Linked DNA regions of Drosophila melanogaster. The protein of the gene in region 1 interacts with the protein of each later gene in a pairwise test. Each region holds a gene or a part of one and is shown in the gene's direction. Other genes may lie near its edges. The genes, in order: sob, ewg, scrt and CG16863.

Evidence for each region.
Region 2: the proteins of sob (region 1) and ewg interact in a two-hybrid assay, tested with the Drosophila melanogaster proteins (one large-scale study listed by BioGRID).
Region 3: the proteins of sob (region 1) and scrt interact in a two-hybrid assay, tested with the Drosophila melanogaster proteins (one large-scale study listed by BioGRID).
Region 4: the proteins of sob (region 1) and CG16863 interact in a two-hybrid assay, tested with the Drosophila melanogaster proteins (one large-scale study listed by BioGRID).

What each region holds. Positions count from the first base shown.
Region 1 is NT_033779.5:3,577,509-3,582,440, reverse strand, and holds sob (sister of odd and bowl), read left to right. Parts: upstream 1-1,671; 5' UTR 1,672-2,261; coding exon 2,262-3,586; intron 3,587-3,732; coding exon 3,733-4,144; 3' UTR 4,145-4,428; downstream 4,429-4,932. UniProt on the Drosophila melanogaster protein: Pair-rule protein that determines both the size and polarity of even-numbered as well as odd-numbered parasegments during embryogenesis.
Region 2 is NC_004354.4:276,624-281,298, reverse strand, and holds the start of ewg (erect wing), read left to right. Parts: upstream 1-1,664; 5' UTR 1,665-2,114; intron 2,115-4,675. UniProt on the Drosophila melanogaster protein: May function as a positive regulator of transcription in developing and differentiated neurons, regulating common aspects of neuronal differentiation and maintenance. Requirement in the CNS may be higher than in the peripheral system.
Region 3 is NT_037436.4:3,982,158-3,986,919, forward strand, and holds the start of scrt (scratch), read left to right. Parts: upstream 1-1,738; 5' UTR 1,739-2,906; coding exon 2,907-3,333; intron 3,334-4,366; coding exon 4,367-4,762.
Region 4 is NT_033779.5:13,789,206-13,793,775, forward strand, and holds CG16863 (uncharacterized protein), read left to right. Parts: upstream 1-1,753; 5' UTR 1,754-1,822; coding exon 1,823-1,959; exon of another isoform or gene 1,960-2,012; coding exon 2,013-2,390; intron 2,391-2,459; coding exon 2,460-3,930; 3' UTR 3,931-4,059; downstream 4,060-4,570. Other genes in the region: Eato (engulfment ABC transporter in the ovary), read left to right, coding at 1-585, 652-1,096.

The sequences.
Region 1 (4,932 bases):
CAGGGATCCAGCAATCTCCAGCAAGAGATCATCCTCGCGACGATCATCATCATCCGTAAGCCGGCCACTAAGCGACATAATTGCTACCGTGGGACTGAGGATCTCTGGTCTCCAGACTCCAGACTCCCGGATCATTAAATGCCGCGATCCTAATGCGCTCCAATCAAACACACACGAAACGAGCGTATGACATGTTTGTGCATTATTAATCACGATAATATCTGTATAAATGGTAGAAAACTGAGAGTCCGGTCCAAATTGCAATTTAATGCAAAAATAAATTGCACTCGGTGCTGGACTGGCTCTTTCCAGCAGTTTTTTCCTGCTTATTTCGTGGCCAACCAACCGGCAGCCGGAGAGCTGGCAGCTCCCATGATTATTGGTCATTTACTTGGGCCGTTTAGCGCATTAAGTCCGAGTTCCCCCACTGGACACTCGCGTCTGGGGGCTTTGCATAAAGAATAAGGAAATAATTGACAGTTGAAAAGTCTCAGCTATGATTGCGGCTGTGATTCGAATTGTGATTGGGTTTGCTGTGCCAGCGTATTTTTGATTCTTCTGGCAGCATTCTTCTCTCGCTCTTTCGTCTGCGATTCTGCGGCGATGAGATGGCGTGCGATGAGAATCATTTCAATCAACTGGCTGCGCTTGGGGCTGAAGAAATCAACGCGTTGACTAATGGCCACAATTTGCAAGTGCTAGCAGGTTGATGCACTCGGAAAAATCTCCACTATTGCAAATGGATTTTAAGTGTAATAATTTCCAGGAAACCATCTCAAGGTGTTTCAATCTGACCGCCAATCCAAAGCCTTTTAAGATCGTTAATATTTAATAGATTAGACCATTGTTCCATATTCCTTACTAGGAACTCCACGGTTTCCTTAGATGTCTAGAAAACATCTGGCTTGTAATTCCTTATCAGGCGATCGCAATCCTTTTATGGCCGCCGATCACATTTGATTTTAGTGAATTAAGGGATGTTCGCTTAAAGTTTTCTTCCCTCTATACAATGTTTTCTTGATATAGTAATAAATTATTCGTATGAATAACTTGTAAAAATAGCTATAATATGAGATTTCTTCTTATTGGCAAGTTCATAATGTAAGCTGCATCTGTTACTTGTGCCTAAATCTATATTTAAAACCTTTAATTATCCGTCAAAATTCTTCAGTTTCCAAGGTTAAAAGTACTTAGCAAAGCTTGCGAAATTTCCTAGAAAGAATCATAAACAACTACTTGCAAAAATTATATAAATAAACGAATATTATCAGACAAGAGGGAGCTGGCACGATGGGCGAGAAAGAGATGGCACGACCAGGAGGGAAAGAGAGGGTGGGCAAAACACCCACTCAAAATCAAAATCAAAATCAGGCATATTAACCACAGAAACCGGTTCTCTCTTTCTCACCTTGCACGCGCTCTCGCTCTACCTCTGATTTAAATGCGCGTGTGTGGGTGAGAGCGGGAGTAAAGGTGCTCAGAATACACAGACAAAACGAGTTTGCACCTGGCCAACCTGAATTTCTCCCGCTCTCCGCTCGCTCTTTTCGTGGGTGATCTTGTGGGCCACGCTCTCATCCGCTCTCGCAGGGAGCGATCGCCAATGGCGAGAGAGATGTGGCGATCAACAAGTGAGCGCAGGTCCGCGATATGTCCGCAGAGCAATGGACTTTTAGTTATTCCGTGATCTTTTACCAATATTGTGTGCAGCGACGGCTGATCGACGTCAAGAGAAGAAGAAGAACTGGCAGAATCAGAGAAAATAAACAATATTATATATACGTACATATATATATACATAGCTCAACACGTGTATGTGTCTGTGTTGGCTAAGACCGGAAGTTGCATTAAACGGAAGTTAACTAATAGTAACTGCACATAATTTTAAAGATCGATTGTACCCAAATTGTTCGCGTGTGCTAGCCAGAAGAACTACCATATTATTTCAGTCGAAAAAATCGAAAAAGCGTGCCTGCCAATTTGACTTAACTTGGCTGAGACTGCACTTTGTTGTTTTCGTTTTTGGCCAGACGTCAAATTCGATTTTTATGACTTTTGAAAGCGTGACTAAGACGTGATTTATGATGGCGTGTGGTTTTTAATATTCATGTGGACGCGCTCCGAACCTCTCAACCTGCGTAGGTGCGCCAAACAATAAAAAATACAAAAAATCACCACGGCAACCAGCAACACAGCAACATCGCTGGCCCGAGGCTTTATCCCGATATCCAGCTGAGTGTGTGCGTGGATTCGACTTTTTTATGGAGGCAGTTAAGCATTTGAGTGCCGCTGCTGCTGCTGCAGCTGCAGCTGCAACTTGCAGCGATTCGCCGGCCAAGGCAGCAGCCTCACCGGCAGCAAGCAGCGATATTGCCGAGGCGCTTGGAGAACTCAAGGCAAGCGCAACAGCAGCAGCATCATCAGCTAGCAAGGCAGCAACATCGAAGCACCACAGCAACAACAACCACAAGCCAAGTGCCGCAGCAACAGCCACAGCAGCGCACAAGAAAAGCGAGAGTTGCAACAGCAACGGCAACAAGTGCACCGCTGCAACATCGCCGATCGGCAGTAAGACCAGCAACGCAGCCATGGCAGCTGCAACAGCAACGGCGGCCGCAGCAACCAACGATCTTGCAGCGGCTGCTGCGGTCGTTCTTTCGCTGCAAGGAACCATGGTCAGCAGTTTGCAGCAGGCCGCCCTACTGCCGGCCAATTCGGCGGCAGCAGCAGCTCTTAATCTCCAGGCCCTGGAATCCTATTTGGCGCTGCAGCGACTAACCGGGAAATCGGATGTATTTCGCTTTTCCAACAGCAACACCGGCAGCAGCAACAGCAACAACGCCACCACCTGCAACAGCAGCAGCAGTGAAGCGGACAACAATGCCTTACCCTCGCTCATCGATATAGCCAATATAGAGCTCAAGTCGAGCTGCTCCTCCAGCTCCTCGGGGGAACCCCCTTTGACGGCAGCGACAGCATCAGCTGCCGCCACATCCTCGCCCAGCAGCAACAACAGCAACTCCACCAGCACACCAACAACATCCAAGTGCGTGCCTCTGCCCTCCATTGGCACCGTTAGTGCTGCAGTGGCGGCTGCTGCGGCTGCCGCAGCAGCTGCTGCGAGCCAACAGGCGGCGCTGGACTGCGCAACAGCCGCAGAACTGGCAGCAGAGTGCGACTTACCGTTGCTCGATGGCGAGGATGCTCTCTCCTTCGAGGCGGGAGATTTGGACAGCAGCTATGGAAGCTTCATGTTTAATCCCTCAGCCTTCAGCCAGGCGGAAACGGACTCGGCTCTGCACTCGCTGCAGGCCACCATGTACCAGGACAAGATGAGTGTCATTTCGGGAGCGGCTGGCGGCGTAGGTGCAGGTGCGGTAGGAGGGCTGGAGGAGGCGGGCAGCTCGGCGGCGGCAGCGGCAGCCCAGCGGTCCAAGAAGCAGTTCATATGCAAATTCTGCAACCGACAGTTCACCAAGTCCTACAATCTGCTCATCCACGAAAGAACGCACACGGACGAGAGGCCTTACTCCTGCGACATCTGCGGCAAGGCCTTCAGGAGGCAGGATCATCTGAGGGATCATAGGTAGGTCAAAAATAGCGGATAAGCTACTTCATGGTATAATAAGAAATGATCCTTCTCTTGAGAATCACTCTGTCACAAAAGACTAGCATTTGGTTTCCATAAAAATCTAACCCACCATTCTCCTCATTCATTTTGGTAACCCGCAGATATATCCACTCCAAGGAGAAGCCCTTCAAGTGCGCGGAGTGCGGCAAGGGATTCTGTCAGTCCCGCACTCTGGCTGTCCACAAGATCCTGCACATGGAGGAGTCGCCGCACAAGTGCCCCGTGTGCAATCGCTCCTTCAACCAGCGTTCCAATCTGAAGACCCACCTGCTCACCCACACCGACATCAAGCCGTACAACTGCGCCTCCTGCGGGAAAGTCTTCCGGCGGAACTGCGACTTGCGACGTCACAGCCTGACGCATAACTTGTCCGCCGGAGTGGGCGGTGTGGTGGGTGGCAACCTAAGTGATCCATTTGGCTCCGGCTCCAGCTCCAGCTCGGAGTTGGGCTTGCCCACGGGCTCCGCCAGTACTGCAGCATCCTCCAGAGATTTGGTGGCCGTCAGCGATTGATCTTCCTCAGCTGATTCCTCACTCTTTGATACCCACTCAATAAAATAAAATCTCAATTGCAGCTCTCATGAATACGAATCCCTCCATTTCGTAATCGTAATCTTAGTACGACTAAACAGCATTTAGTTTAGTGTAAGTTTAGCCTTAGCTACTTTGGTTTAAGCCTTGGATATTTGTGACGTAAGCATAGCAGGAAAGTTTGACTTTGCGTAAATTAACGTTAGATATTAAGTTAAATTGTGGACTCTTAATGTACGATCGAATAAAAGACAATAGCTTAAAGGAAATTGTGCACATGGCTTTTTATTGTTGACTTGGGCTTATGGTTATAGAAAGGTTTTCTTGAGACTAAAAAGAACGTTAGTTGTATTATAATTTGAATATTCTAGAATTTTACCACGGGTATGGAGTTTGAGTTGTTTGAGTTTCCAAAGGCCTGTTGTTCATTTCAAAATTCAAGAATTTTCCAAAACGTTTTTCTCACCCTTTCTACCTTTCTACCGCTTTGATTCCACTCTTGTACTTACACTATTTACGCACTTGTAGCGAACTAAAATCAAATATTTGTACCGATGTTTATCGCTCGAGTGCCAACAAGGGCAATTAATGTAGCATTAAGGTGCACACCTTCAAACACCTCTTTCAACAAGCCTTTGACAACAAACAAAACAAGATCGACAATAGTGGGGCTAAAACAAAGAAATGCCCATATTTTCCCACCACTTCCAGGCTGTTCCACATTTCCAGTCAAATAATGTCGTACAAGCCGGTGGACAAGTGGAGCAGGC
Region 2 (4,675 bases), on another chromosome or scaffold:
CTGCCAGTTTCGATTATGCAGAACCGATAAGGCCAGTTCGTGTAGAATTCCGGAAGAATTGCCGATAAGGAATAAGTAGGGCCAAGTTTCAGATAAATCCAAAGCCACTATGGGGAATTTGATTCGTTTTTTGGCATAAATGTGTTTTTAAAAATGTTTCAATTGTTGAACACTTTTTTCTTAACGGATTAAGATCAAGGCTTAAGTTATGTAACGCAAATGTAAATTAATCAATGTTAAAAACCACGTGCCATCGATGACCTTCTTTTTTAGTGCTTACGAAAATTAATTGAGTTTCAAAAAATTTTTGATATGTGTGTTAGTCAATGTTTTAGAGTGATTAATTACCTACTTAGAACACATACGGTTAACGCGACTTTTGCGAATGCTACTTATTGTGACTTTTCGCGAAGATTACATTTTTAGGTAGCAATCAGCAATGCGGCCCTGATAGAAGTGTACGAAATGCGACTCTGAAAGATTTTTTTATCAATAAAAATGTTAAGAGACTTAAGTTTGTACCGATTGTGGACAATCTAAAACATGGTGTAACTCCAATACATTGGTGGATTAGATAGAATATATTGATTTAAAAAAAAAATTTTATGGGAGTGGGCGGGGCACCCACTTTGCCAAAATAATTCTAAATTCATCGTATCTTAAATAGTTTACGAGATATTAATTTATGCCAATAAAACATGTTAAATTCCCCATAGTGCAAGCGCACTACCAGCCTCATTTCACAGCGATAAGCAACTTGTGGTTTCTTTTTATATAATATGAATTCTTTGGTTTTTACATACGGGCAATCTGTGTTAAAAAAAAACAATTCCTTTTATCACTATATACATCCTAATAATGAATTTTATTGTGTGAGTGCCGACGACGGACATAAAAACCCAACATTTTTGGTGGCAAGCAGTTAGTCGTCTTCGGTCGTTCTAGTTTACCAATCCTTCAGGATTTCATATCCCTAAACTATTTTTTTGTTTTTTATTTTTTGTTAAATTTCCCGCGTGTGAAATACGAAGTTGATTGTATGTCAGTTTTTCATTTGGCCTGGCTAGCTTACTCCTTTTTAAATATTGCTAGCTGCCTTGTGAAGGGCTTACGTGTAATTGCAGTTCGACTCCCGAATAATAAATTTTTCGACTGTTTAAAATTTACCATTATTTTGGGGTATCCTAAAAGTTTTGTTACATTAATAACTACATCTGATTAATTCGTGGATCAAATGTTGTATATTCTTTGTAGCGTTCATAATATAAACCTTTAAAAAAAGCTACTAATAAACTGTCTCTTATCAGATACGGAGATGGTGGAGTGCTAGAGAGAAATTTAAAAACTCTTCTAAAAAATAACAAACTAAATAAATATGAAACTATTATAAATATGTGAGTGTAATAGAGGACGTGGCAAGCCCAGGGAACAAATTTTCCCTGCATAGAAAGACTAAAATCTTTTTGGCACCAGAAAACTTAAATTTCTTATATCAAAAATTATTATTATATTATTATATTTATGGATTATTATATGCTTACTCAAAAATATACAATCAATTTTTCAACTAATATAAGTCCGCTAGGGGGACTTGAATTTAAACTTAAATAGCACAATTAGTGGGACCGCCAATCCTCGTTTCTCCTATGCATTTTAGAGTGACCGCTTTCCTTCGACTGCGATATGTATTGCGTGTACATTATCGACGTCTGAAAAAATCACGCGTGCTGTATATCGATATTTGTCATGTACTAAATACCATTCCTCGGCTAAATTAAATCGCAAAATTGCGTCGAAACTTGGGGAAAAGTGCTGGGACAGGCAGCTGAAAACTAAGCTAACGGAAAAGCATCGTGAGGGAAAACAGCGAAACTTTGCGAGCGGGAAATTTTGGAGCTACAACCTAGAAACGGCAGTGCGCAAATGTAAAATGCACGGAATATTCGCATGTGCAGTGTGATAATAAATAAACGCCAAAGAAAATTTTCGGCGCAGGGGCAAACACACCAATGCACAATAGCGGCGGCGCGTTCGTGTGCGTGCGCCTTTTTTTTCTTTGTGAGTGTGTATGTGTGTTATCATAAAGGAGCTGGAAAAACAACAAAAATACACAGGTGCGTATGTGGGTGTAAACTAGTGGTAGGGGTCAACAAATTTTCCGATTTTCCACTGTGACAGTCTATAATTTATATGTGTATATAGAGATTTGTAGTGGCATAAGTGAATGCCCAAAAGTTTCGGAGTTTCTGAGCTAACGGTTCTTGCTGGCTTGTGTGTGTGTATTAGGTTATCATATATGTGTGCTGGTGTATTTAGCTTGTGTTACCGTTACATCGGCGCCGTAAATGAAAATCCAACTGCGAGTGTCCGTAACTTAACCATGCGCCTCAGCTAAAAGTTAAAACAAAGACAGGAAACTCCGATAGGAAGGATGATGTGTAAAGTAGGGTTGTAGAATAGAAACGCCAAACAGGTATCACTTCCAATTGTGTGCACGACAGCACACGCATTTCCCATTTGCATTGGAAGGTATGCGTGTTTTTGATGCATCTGTGTCTGTGTGATTCTGACGTTTTTGGGGTTGCGAAAAACACCCAAACCACCCCCTAGAGACGAAAAATTTGTAGATACACACATGGATAAACAGAGCGGGATGGCTAGCTCACAGCAACCTTCATTGGGTTTTTCCAGTTCCAATAGTGAAGGACGCCACTGTTATAGGTTGTATTGGGGTGGGCTATAAAAGTACAGTTCCAATTGGAACAGGGCAACGGCCAGCCTACAATTACAGATTATATTTGTTACATCTTTTAAATCTAAGGAATAAGAGTATTTTATTTATTTTATGGCCGATTTAAACACATGCCTAACAAAAATAGTTTCTACTCGAGATGAGTTTAAGATAGTCAAGAACATTTAATAGCTCAAACAAATATAAAAATTTAGACATAACAAGAAGATTACATTTTTGCTGGTATTTTCCTGTTTCCCCGACTATAAACTCCTACGAACTCTTACTGTTGGTTGTATATGTACATACATATGTATATTTCTGTCACTGCATTGCTATGAACAGTGGTGGTCTTTGCGCCGACTCCACTGCCGCGACAACCTTCGCATGCGTAACTTGCCTCTCGTTTGTATTTTCGCTGTTATCATTTCATTTTTGTAGAGCTGTGCTGTCCAGCACAGAAAAAAGAGTATGGTGGGAAATTAAGAGAGGGAGAGAGAGAAACAGCAGTACCAAGAAAATTCGATTGTGGGAAAGGGAAAGTAAAAAAACACGGTGGGGTCAATTCTTTGCAGAACATAACAAATTGTCTTATCATAATTTGGTAATTATTGCGGCTGTTAGTCTTGCATGCTTAAAATTATAAAAAAGTGTCTTAAGGTATTTTTAATTTTCCTATATATGTATAGATAGAATAAACGATACTTCGATGTAAACGGCAGTAACTTTTTGGAGTTTACGGAAGCTGGGGTTAAAGAATTTAAATATTCAAAAATAATGAAATATTCACGAATACTAAAAATTGCCTTAAGAATACATATAAAACGCGAAAGCACACATACGCTTACATTAAATAGTAAATTGAGAAAACACCGAATAAGAAGAATTTATGATCGGATACAACAAGAGTATAATTTCTTTTCTAATATTTTGATCAAATTGAAACCGAAATTATGATGTCAAAAACGGCTTTTACGAGTATACGCTTTGTGCGAAATATAAAAACAAACTAGGATTCTTTTTCCTCAATTTCCCTGTGACTTTTCGACTTCTCGATGCAATTACAACCGAAATATATTGAAGTGTATATATGTATATATATATATATATACTTATGTATATATATGTACAGATGTTAAAACAACGATGCTACACTTTTTTAAATTATTTTTTTTTTTATTATTCCGTACCGAATAATATACCATGTGCAAGACAAAGAATACTCTTGGAAAAGGTGCAAGCATATAACATTAAAACTAAGAGAATAATTTTCGTAGACACGTATAGACGGACGTGGCTTTGTCGCCTGTGGTGTTGACACTGATCAAGAATAGTATACATCGCAAATGCCTTCTTTACAGTGTTGCTAACTTCCGACACAAAGTTTAGTTGCGCTTACTGCAACCTGTGGGCATCACTGTGTAGGCCTTAAATCTTAAAGGACTCTAAAATGGCCTACTTCTATAATTAGAAAGAAAACCTGAAGACTACATCCAACAAACGCAGAGCTTTTTAATTTGGCAATACTTTAGGTTCCTTCACACAATTTCATCACCCACCTTTTTCAGAATCCGGATAAGAATGTATATATGTATGTGTCTTAGGGGGTGAACATATACTCTCTCTACTCTTTTCCCCTTTCTCTCATCATCAGATGCCTATTTTGATTACAATCAAGGTTTAGAAGTGTGCTCACTTTTGCTGGGCCACTTTTCTCGATATATGTGTGGCACGCGCAAGTGGGTCGTGCTCACATCCCCTATAAGGACGTGGGAGTTGGTGGTGTTCCCACTGCATTGTTTCGCGGGGGTGATTGGGTAGTTCGAGTAGTGCATGCGTGGTAGTTTAAAAAAGATCCAAGGAAAATAAATAAAAACACTGCATAAGATAGTTTCATCGTGAGGTGCACCTCGAGCTGGGCGAGTTTGCGTGTGTATTCAGTGC
Region 3 (4,762 bases), on another chromosome or scaffold:
TAAACAGGGAAACCATAGAAAAAAGGTTGCATCTGTTTCGAGTGGGGCACAGGAAGTGGGTTCAACGAAGGACCCCGGGGGATACCATAGTAAACCGAATGAAAATTCCAATGAAAAGTATATATAATTTTTAAGGACTGCAGCCGCTGCAGAAGCGACGCTAAGCTCGTCTGAGGCAGACAAATTGTCTGTTGTCGCTGGCTAATTAAAAGGTTAAGAACTTTGTAATTTAAGTGTCTGATTATGCAAAGCCCGAGCTCCCCGTTCAGCTAACCGAAGCTCCACTTTAATTAATTAGTTTTGTGTGTGTTGCACTGACTGGGAATGCGAACAGATTGTATATGTAAGTAAGTCGCTTCTCAAGATGTTCTAGGGATTTTATGGTGGGTCATCTTGAACGCATTGTTTGAAAGCATTTCAAGGATTCTCTAAGGTTTTTACTTTAATCGAAGTAAGGTTAGTACTACATTTTAAAGTAGTATGTTACGAGTTATCTCTAGATAATGATTCTAGTTCTAATAGGTTCAATTAATAGCCAAACAAATGTTTTTACAAATATAAATATTGCTATAGACTTCACATAGCTGGACCCCTTTGCGGGCATCAAAAAACCCTGGAAATCCATCCCAAAATCGTGTTCATTTCATACTGGGAGTGTGGCATATGACACATCCAGCTGTCAATCAAACCCAACTCGGCAGGAGCTGCAATTAATCATCCAACGATTTGAGTTGCCGCACTCATATCCGACCTCTGTGATCTGAAAAGTAAACCACTTATTCATGGCCAGTGGAGAGCCGTCAGTGCAGAGAGACGAGGGCGACAGAAGTTAGTTTGTGCTGTTTATCTTGTACTAACTGAGTTAGGGCCAAGGACCAGCGACTGTTGCATCCCCTCAACCCGTTACCCCAACCAGCATAGTATATATGTTTACGGGAAAGTAGCGTACACCCCCCTTTGGCCATCCCGTCGCTGGCAATTTGTTCAAAATCAGAGCCAGCAACAAATGCAATGCAACAGCAATTAACTCGGCACAACTGCCACATTCTGGGCGCAAAATCCACCCCGTGTATCGTGAATGGGAGCCTCAGGCGGCCAAGAGCCAAGAGGCAAGAGCCGCGAGCCCCAAGCCGAAAAAGTTCCAAAAGGGCCAAAGAGCCATGAGCCAATTCTCAGGTATGGCTGGGGGTCCGGTGCCTCCACGTCGAAAGAAAGAGACCGAGTGGGAGAAGGTGGGGAAATGGAAAGAGAGAGGCGCAACAATTTTGAAATCGGGAGAAAGCAACAGCGGGGAATGTTTTGGCAATGAAACACTTCCTGATTGTTGCCTTTGCTCTAGGGCGCTGGCACACGATGCGATTTCTTAGAAGATATGTTAGAAAACTCTTTGTTTTTAAGGGTTTCACTGGTATTTTAGGCATGAAGGCCAGCACTAAGTTATGTTTTATTCTTTTGGCCGCTATTACCTTATGTTATTTCAGTGATTTAGGTTTCTTGAGCATATTCCATCGTGTGTACCAGCCCACAGGACGAGCAACAGCAATAGCAACAGCTATGCGCTTCCTTTCTGGGGGTTGGAACTTAGGGGCTGTGCCGCTCTCAGCGTTCCGCTCTCTGGCGCTCCAGTGCTCTCGCTCTTCCCTTCGGCTCGTTTCGGCTGCAAGGCGACGCGGTTCGGCTGGCTGTCGTTATGCTGGGGGTGGACCACCCTTATAAGCGGGCTCTCGGGCCGCAAGACTCTCATAAGCATTCAAGAGTTGCTTACGTTCGGTTCGTTCGCATTTCTTCTCTATCTTATATAATATTATATTTTCTCCTAAATCAATTTTTTCACTACCAACAACAACAACAATAATAACAACTCAACTATTCTCAACTCGCGTCAACCTTAACTTTCTCAAAAACAACAAACTACAACTCTACCACTACCAATCTGTCAACTTTCCGTTTTTAAACTGAAACTGCAAACCAAAACATTTATTTTCGTCTCGACGGCCATTGACAAAGTTTTGTTTTCCAAAAACCCGAGGAGAAAATTGCCAGCCCAAAAAGAGTTGAAAGGATACCCCAAAGATTCGTTCAAAAATCGTCCCCCCGTTATGTTTTGAGTTCAATTCCGTGTTGAAAACAAACGTGAACGTAAACGCAAATGTAAATGTAAAAATCGATAAGCCACACGCAGCCAGCCAACTGAACGCGAACGTGTCCGTGTGTGTTTCGTGGAGCGAGGGGATTGAACGGGGGGAACTGACCAAAAATCGGTGGCCCTGGCCAAAAACGCAAAAACTCCGGCCCAAAAAGAAAAAAAAAAATACAAGAAAAGCAAAGCAAAGCAAAGTAAAGCAGAGCAGAACAGAGCAGAGAGAGCGACTCGAAACTCCAGCCCAAATGACGGATACGGGTCTGACAACGAATCAAGCGCCGAAATGTGTGAAGTGGCTGTGAAACCCGAGGAATCCTAACTAAAAACCAAACCAATTTACAATAAAATGCAAATTACTAAGAATATTTAACCGAAACGCACCAGACCACACCACTCCACTCCACACACACAGACAGACACACGAGACACGGCAGAAATGCCAGGCCTGAAATTCAACAAGCTGTACGACTAAAACTTTAAGAGATCTTTCGGCGAGCCAAACTCTATATACAATATATATATATATATATATATATATTAATATATATATTTTCCCATGCGAGATAACAACAGCAACGTTTCCTTTCCGCTTTTGCCACAAATAATACCCCCTGAGACGGTCTTTGCTCGCTCGAAACTCGACACTAGCTTCAGCACTTAGCCCTCTAAGATCTACTAACTGGATCCTGATCAAGCTCCTAGCCAAAACTCCAACTCCAACTCCAAAACCTCTAATCTACAAAGAAAAAAAAAAACACAGAAAATGCCGCGCTGCCTGATAGCCAAGAAGTGGAAGGCCTATCCCTGGCTGGATCGGACGGAGGATACTAGCAACCAGCAACAGCAGCAGGAGCAGAGTGCCCCCAACTCGCCTCGCGAACTGGAGGAGCTGCATCTCAAGTCCAGACGCTCCACCCTGGACGACGACGAGGAGATCGATGTGGTGGGCGACAAATTCCTGATCAAATTGGAGAAGCAACGCACAACAGCAGATGCTGCCGCAGCAGCAGCAACATCATCCGAAGCAGCAACATCGCACAGCAGCAACAGCAGCAACATGGAGGCATCGGCGACGACGACGACGTCCAAGTGCTGGGGACCCAGTTCACCCACGGCGGGCACCACGGCTCCAAGTCCGCCTCCCCATTCGCCGGAGGCGGCGACGCGAGTGGCCGGCAATGTTTACAACGGTAAGTTAGCCCTCGGGAAAGTCGGGAAATCGGAAAACACTGCTCCAGCCAGTGAGGCGGGGGTGGTGGAAATCGAGATGGGGCGCACGTAATCGCTGTCATTGATGTGGCCATTGTGCGATTGCGAAACAATTCCGAATCAATTTAATTGCCTTTGTTGTCACTCAATATTGTTTGCAATTCCGGCCAGCGGGCCACAAAACGCAGAACGCACAGACCCTCGCCGACTTCCTACTGCCAACTTCCAGCTCGGTTTCCATTCCCTTTGGCGTGAAAACAATGGTACAGGCCAAAATTAAACCGTTTGCCTTCGTCCTTTTTGTTGAATGTGTGCCTGTCACTGTTTTCCACGTACAATTGCGAAATTAATTATTCAGTGGAAATTAGAAGCAAGGCAGACCTAAAAACCACTCACAATAGACATCCTTTCTATAGGTTTAGGCTTTAAAAGCTAAAAATAACTTACTACGAAACAGATTTAAAGTAATTGCACTAACCCATTTTTTAGCTGTGAGCTGTTGCTCTTCTGTGTACTTTTCTACTTCGCCAAAGTTCTTATTTTGCGGAGAAAATCCTTTGAGCAAACATAATATTTTCCAGCACATACAAAATAGTTATCTTAGCACAACTCCAGGCGTGGTCTTTGATATTTATGTTGACCTTTTAAAGTTTGCCCTTGGTTAAAAGAAATTATACGCATGTGTCAGTCCTTCATATTTAAATGAAAGCTATTGTTTAAAGTTTGTTAAAGAAAATATCTTAAGAATGGCAGAGGGTAAATGTTTTGGCAGCTTATAAAGAAAAGGAAACGGAAAAATTATAATCACAAAGAAATTATAAGTGCATGTCTAGGAAGTTTAAGCGAATCATATACTCTACATCCGACTACATTAAGTATATTTTCCGGCACAAAAACATTACAATGACTGAAACTCTTATTTCAAAAGAAAAAAGTGTAGCATACTTCAGGAACCATGATAAATGCTGCTGAATAAAACTTAACCCATGATTTAATTTTTTCTGCTTTTTACAGGCTACACCCGCGAACTTTCGCCGCTGCACTACACCGCGTACCTGCCCCGCATGGAGAGCGAGATAACCGTGATCCGTGCCGCGGCTACAGCTCTGGTGGCAGCCAGGACATCCGGAAACGGAAGTGGAGATCAGCACCTGGCCGCCTACCAAACGCCGCCCTCGTCCACCACGTCATCACCCTCTTGTTCGCCCAGCGGCGCCGGCGATCGGTACAGTCCGCTCTCGAGTGGACAGACCTCCAGTGAAAGGAAGTGCTTCAGCAGTACGGGAGCCACACTGTCGCTGCCGCCGAAGAAGAAGGACATCTACAGGCCGTATTCCTTGGACGACAAGCCGGCGCACGGCTATCGAAGAAGGGTACCGGCGGAGGAGGACCTGCATGCGGCACATGCTA
Region 4 (4,570 bases), about 10 Mb from region 1:
GATTGTGCACAATCTTCGCAAGCGATACGGCGATAAGCTGGCTGTGGACGGAGTCAGCTTTGCGGCTGCCCAGGGTGAATGCTTTGGTCTGTTGGGTGTTAACGGAGCGGGTAAGACAAGTACCTTTCAGATGATAGCGGCCAATTTGCCTCTAGATGGTGGCACTATCCGCATCAAAGGCGCAGACATTCGCGAGCATGAGTTGAAATACCGGGAATACTTTGGCTACTGCCCTCAGTACGATGCACTAAATAAATTCATGACCGCCGAGCAGTGCCTATACTACATGGCATTGCTGCGCGGCCTGAGCCGCCGAAGGACCGATGGACCAGCCAGCTGCAAGGAGCACGTGAAGTACTGGCTAGAGAAGATGCATTTGACCAAATATCAAAAGGTGCAAGTGCGCCACTATTCGGGCGGCACGAAACGCAAGCTTCTGGCGGCAATGGCCATGATTGGTGCACCCGCACTGGTGCTCCTGGACGAACCTACCACCGGTGTGGATCCCATCTCGAGACGATTTCTTTGGCAATGCATCAAGGATTTCCAGGGAAAGGATCGAACAGTGGTGCTCACATCACATAGGTAAGCCCAAAAAAGTATATTTCCTTTTCAAACAGATTCAAAAGTGTACACATTCTCTACAAACAGCATGGACGAGTGCGAAGAGCTGTGCAATCGCTTGGCCATCATGGCGCACGGAAAGTTCAAGTGTCTGAACAATATTTGCGCCCTTAAGCGATTAAGCGGCTTCACGATAAAACTGAAAATGAAGGCGGACACCGAAACGGAGATGAATGTGTCCACGATCACTGGCACGTTGAAGTCAGAGTTTCCTGGTCTGGAACTGCGCGAGAGCCATGCCGGCACACTCACCTACTTTGTTAGCACGCAGGAGAGTGTGGTCCTTTGGTCAAGTGTTTTCAAGATAGCTGAGGAATATCTGGGCGATCGCTTAAGCGCTCTCGTGGCCGACTATTCGGTGAACGAGTGCACACTCGAGGATATTTTCCTCAAGTTCGAGAGAGAGGCGAAATCACAATCGACGTCACGTCAAACCTCCGTGCAACGCAGGCCGGAATGCAGCTACGTTTAGGCCAGATAGTCGGAGTGTCGGAGTATCAAGTAAGATAAGCAGAAGACGGGCGTCGTACATTTCATTATTTCCCTCAAATATGGAACTTTTATGAATCTCTATCCGGTGGGAATAATCTACTTAATGTATTTAGGGACTAATAAAACCAAACAAACACCTTCGACATGGGTATATAAAACTAAAATATAAAAGTAAGATATAACTAGTACGACAAATAAATAATATTTTTTATTTATATTATAATAAATATTTCTACATAATATTTGATGTGCATTGATTATGGGATTAAGGTAAATTATCATAATTCAAAAGAAGTTAAAAACAGTTTTATACCCTTCTATTGGTAGAGGAACAGGTATCTGATTGACGGGGAACTCGACTATAGCATTCTCCCGTTTTTTTTTTTTTTTAATTTAAAATCTCCCGCCTTAGTATTTTTAAAATACCACTCATAATAATACCAAAAGGAACTTTAAACGATCTATATTTGGAATTTAACGATTCATTCAAGAATTAAAAGTAATACATAATGTAATTTTTTTATCCAGCTTGACTATTGAATATTTAATTATGAGAAAAATAAATATAAAACTATTATTACTTGGACGACTTAGGCGCTAATGGAAATGTCAAATTCTCAAAAAATCTCCCACTTGGCCACACTAATGTAGCGTTATTTACAAAATATTCATTTTTTTCGTCGTTAATTTATCGTTTATGCCGAATATGTCGCGTAGCAGAATATGGAAGTTCTACGACAAGTTGGATCGGAATTCCGCGCAGTGCCAGCTCTGCGAGAAAGTAATCAAGACAAGCGGCAACACGTCCAATCTGATGAAGCACATGAAGACCCATCCGCAGATGTAGGAAAGGCTCCTGAGTTCAAAAACCTTTCACAATGAAAATTTTCTTGAAGAAACCTCTTCGACGACGATGTGGTGGTGGAGCGGGGCATATACAAGCGGCGGGAGCAGGATGACAAGCTGCGATTCCGGAAGGTTGTTCCCTTCAAGGAAGAGAGCTCTGATTTCCACAGCGAGCTGTTGTTCAAGGCTGCCAAGGATGCGAGCGGCATTATCGAGCTGGATGATCAAGGAATGATCAAGGCGGCTGCTGAGGATCGCATCTCAACAAAGAGCGTCGGGTATGCGTGGGTCTCTCCGGAGGCCACAGTGTCCCGAACGGAGACGGTTGGCGGCGACGATATCATCGAATTCGAACCCAAGGAGGAGCTCGATGAGTCGGAGAAAAGCCCACTTCCCCAAATTCATGCTGTACCATTTGCCGGCCATGAGTAAGTTTTAATCAAAAGATAGAAGGTAGAAGATAGATACAATTGTAGTAAACTTCATTTATTACCCAGCAACTTAAAAATGGAAGAACCTCTGCCGAGCGAGAGTCCGTTTCACAAGGACATTGCCTTCTTTGTCTGCCGTGACCGCCAGTCATTGCAGATTGTGCAGGGCGAGGGATTCCAGCACCTAGTGAAAGTACTGTGCCCCACCTACAGACCACCGAGTGCGGCGAAACTGGAGGCCATTATCTGCAGGGAGTCGGAAGCGCAGAGGTCCAAGCTCTGCCAGCAGTTGGCCGACATCTCGACACTCAGCCTAAGTTGCTCGGTGCACACGAATGCGGAGAGTCGAAGCTGGATGGAGCTGGTGGCCCACTTTCACGAGGGGCGGCAACGAATCTCCCGAACTCTTTCTGTGCTGCGCCTTCCCGATCTTTTCACCTCCAACGATCTGGTGGATCGCATGGACCAAGTGTGTCAGCGCTTCGACATTCCAAAGTCAAGGATCTGCTGCGTGTCGACAAGGAGCAGTCAACTACTGGAGGATGCGGTGACATCGTTCATGGGCGCTCATCATCATGTTCCCTGCTTCGCAGACCAATTGAATTCTATTTTAGAGGAGGTGGTGCAGCGCCCAGAAATACGTCATTTGCGCGACAAGGTGCGTTCCCATGTGCAGTCCACATTGCAGCTGAATCCCCAACTGGATTCCATACACCGACCGATTAGTGTGTACAATATGCTAGACTTATACCTGAAACAGACTCTCGTTCAAGAGCCGCTGCCGCTTTCGACATCGGAGGTGGATTTGTGTCAGCAATTGCTGGACGTGCTGAGGCCGTTGACCAGCTCCATGCGTGAGCTAAGTCGAACACCATATCCGGCGGCCAGCACAGCCCTGCCCATTGCCCAAACTCTGATCAACGAACTGAAGCAGGAGAAGAGTGCGGAACACATGGTTGCCAGGGAAATACGCTTGTTCCTGGTTCAGCAGCTGGAGGAGATCTTCGAACGAATGGAGCGCAACTTGCACCTGGCATTGGCAAGTCTGCTGGACCCACGCTTTCGAAATATTCCCTTCCGGAGTGGGGCCCTGGTGGCCCAGTACATGACTCAACTCTATGACATGATGCAGGCGCATGTGGACAGCGGGGAGCAAGCTGTTGCAAAGCATCCGGAGAACCGTGATCACTACGATATCTGGGCGGCATTCAAATCCTTTTCGCATGGGAAGCAAAGGATTGTAAACGGCAGCAACGGTCCCGAGGCGGACGATGAGATAGCCAGATACTTTTGCGCCGGCATGAGTACCCTGCGAGCCGATCCCTTTCAGCTCTGGGAGGAACTGGCCGAAGCTCACCCCTTCCTGCACAACGTAGCACAGAGGTACCTGCACGTTCCGGCCACCGCAGAGCCGGCGGATCGGCTATTTACGGCCGAAGGAGCGGCGGTTGCGGCGCAGTACGCCAGACTAATCGAAAACAACATGGAAAACATACTCTTCATGGCGGAAATTCCAACGAAGGAGTGGCAGTTATAGCGTAGTCCATAATCAATCCAAACCTAAGTTGAGCACTGTGTTTTTGTACCCCTTTTATTAACTAATTTATTAATTTACATTTACAATAATGCGAACTATAAAATACATTTTTTAACTTTTTAGCTTCTCAAGCGTTAAGGAACTATTTTTGTATTAGAAAATTAGAGGTAGGGAACGAATAACGAACACATATTCATTAAAGATTTGTAAGTACTATTTACTACACATATTTACACAAATAATTTATTTTAAATATAACTTTATTGTTTACTTTTTTCTTTTGTTATCACAAATCGCCGTTACAAATTCAAATAACAATAACACCAGCAAATTAGCAAAAATACCAAAACCGAGAGAATACCAAAAACTTCCCAACACTGCCGACAGCTCAGTAATTTTCGCTTACACGGTCACACTTCTGATGACGTTTTTTCGTATTTTGAAGGGAATGTAAATGTGGAAAAACTGAGAGATTTGCAACATGCAAACATCCACGACACGCTAAAAACTCACCGAGTGCCGCCACACGACAATCCAACCGAGAGGAGCACTCCGCACAGCTGGCGGAGCACCCAGAAGGCAGCAGGCGAAAGTTGCGTGGCTGTTGTTTCCGGAAGCGGTGGGCAGAGGGAAATCCGAA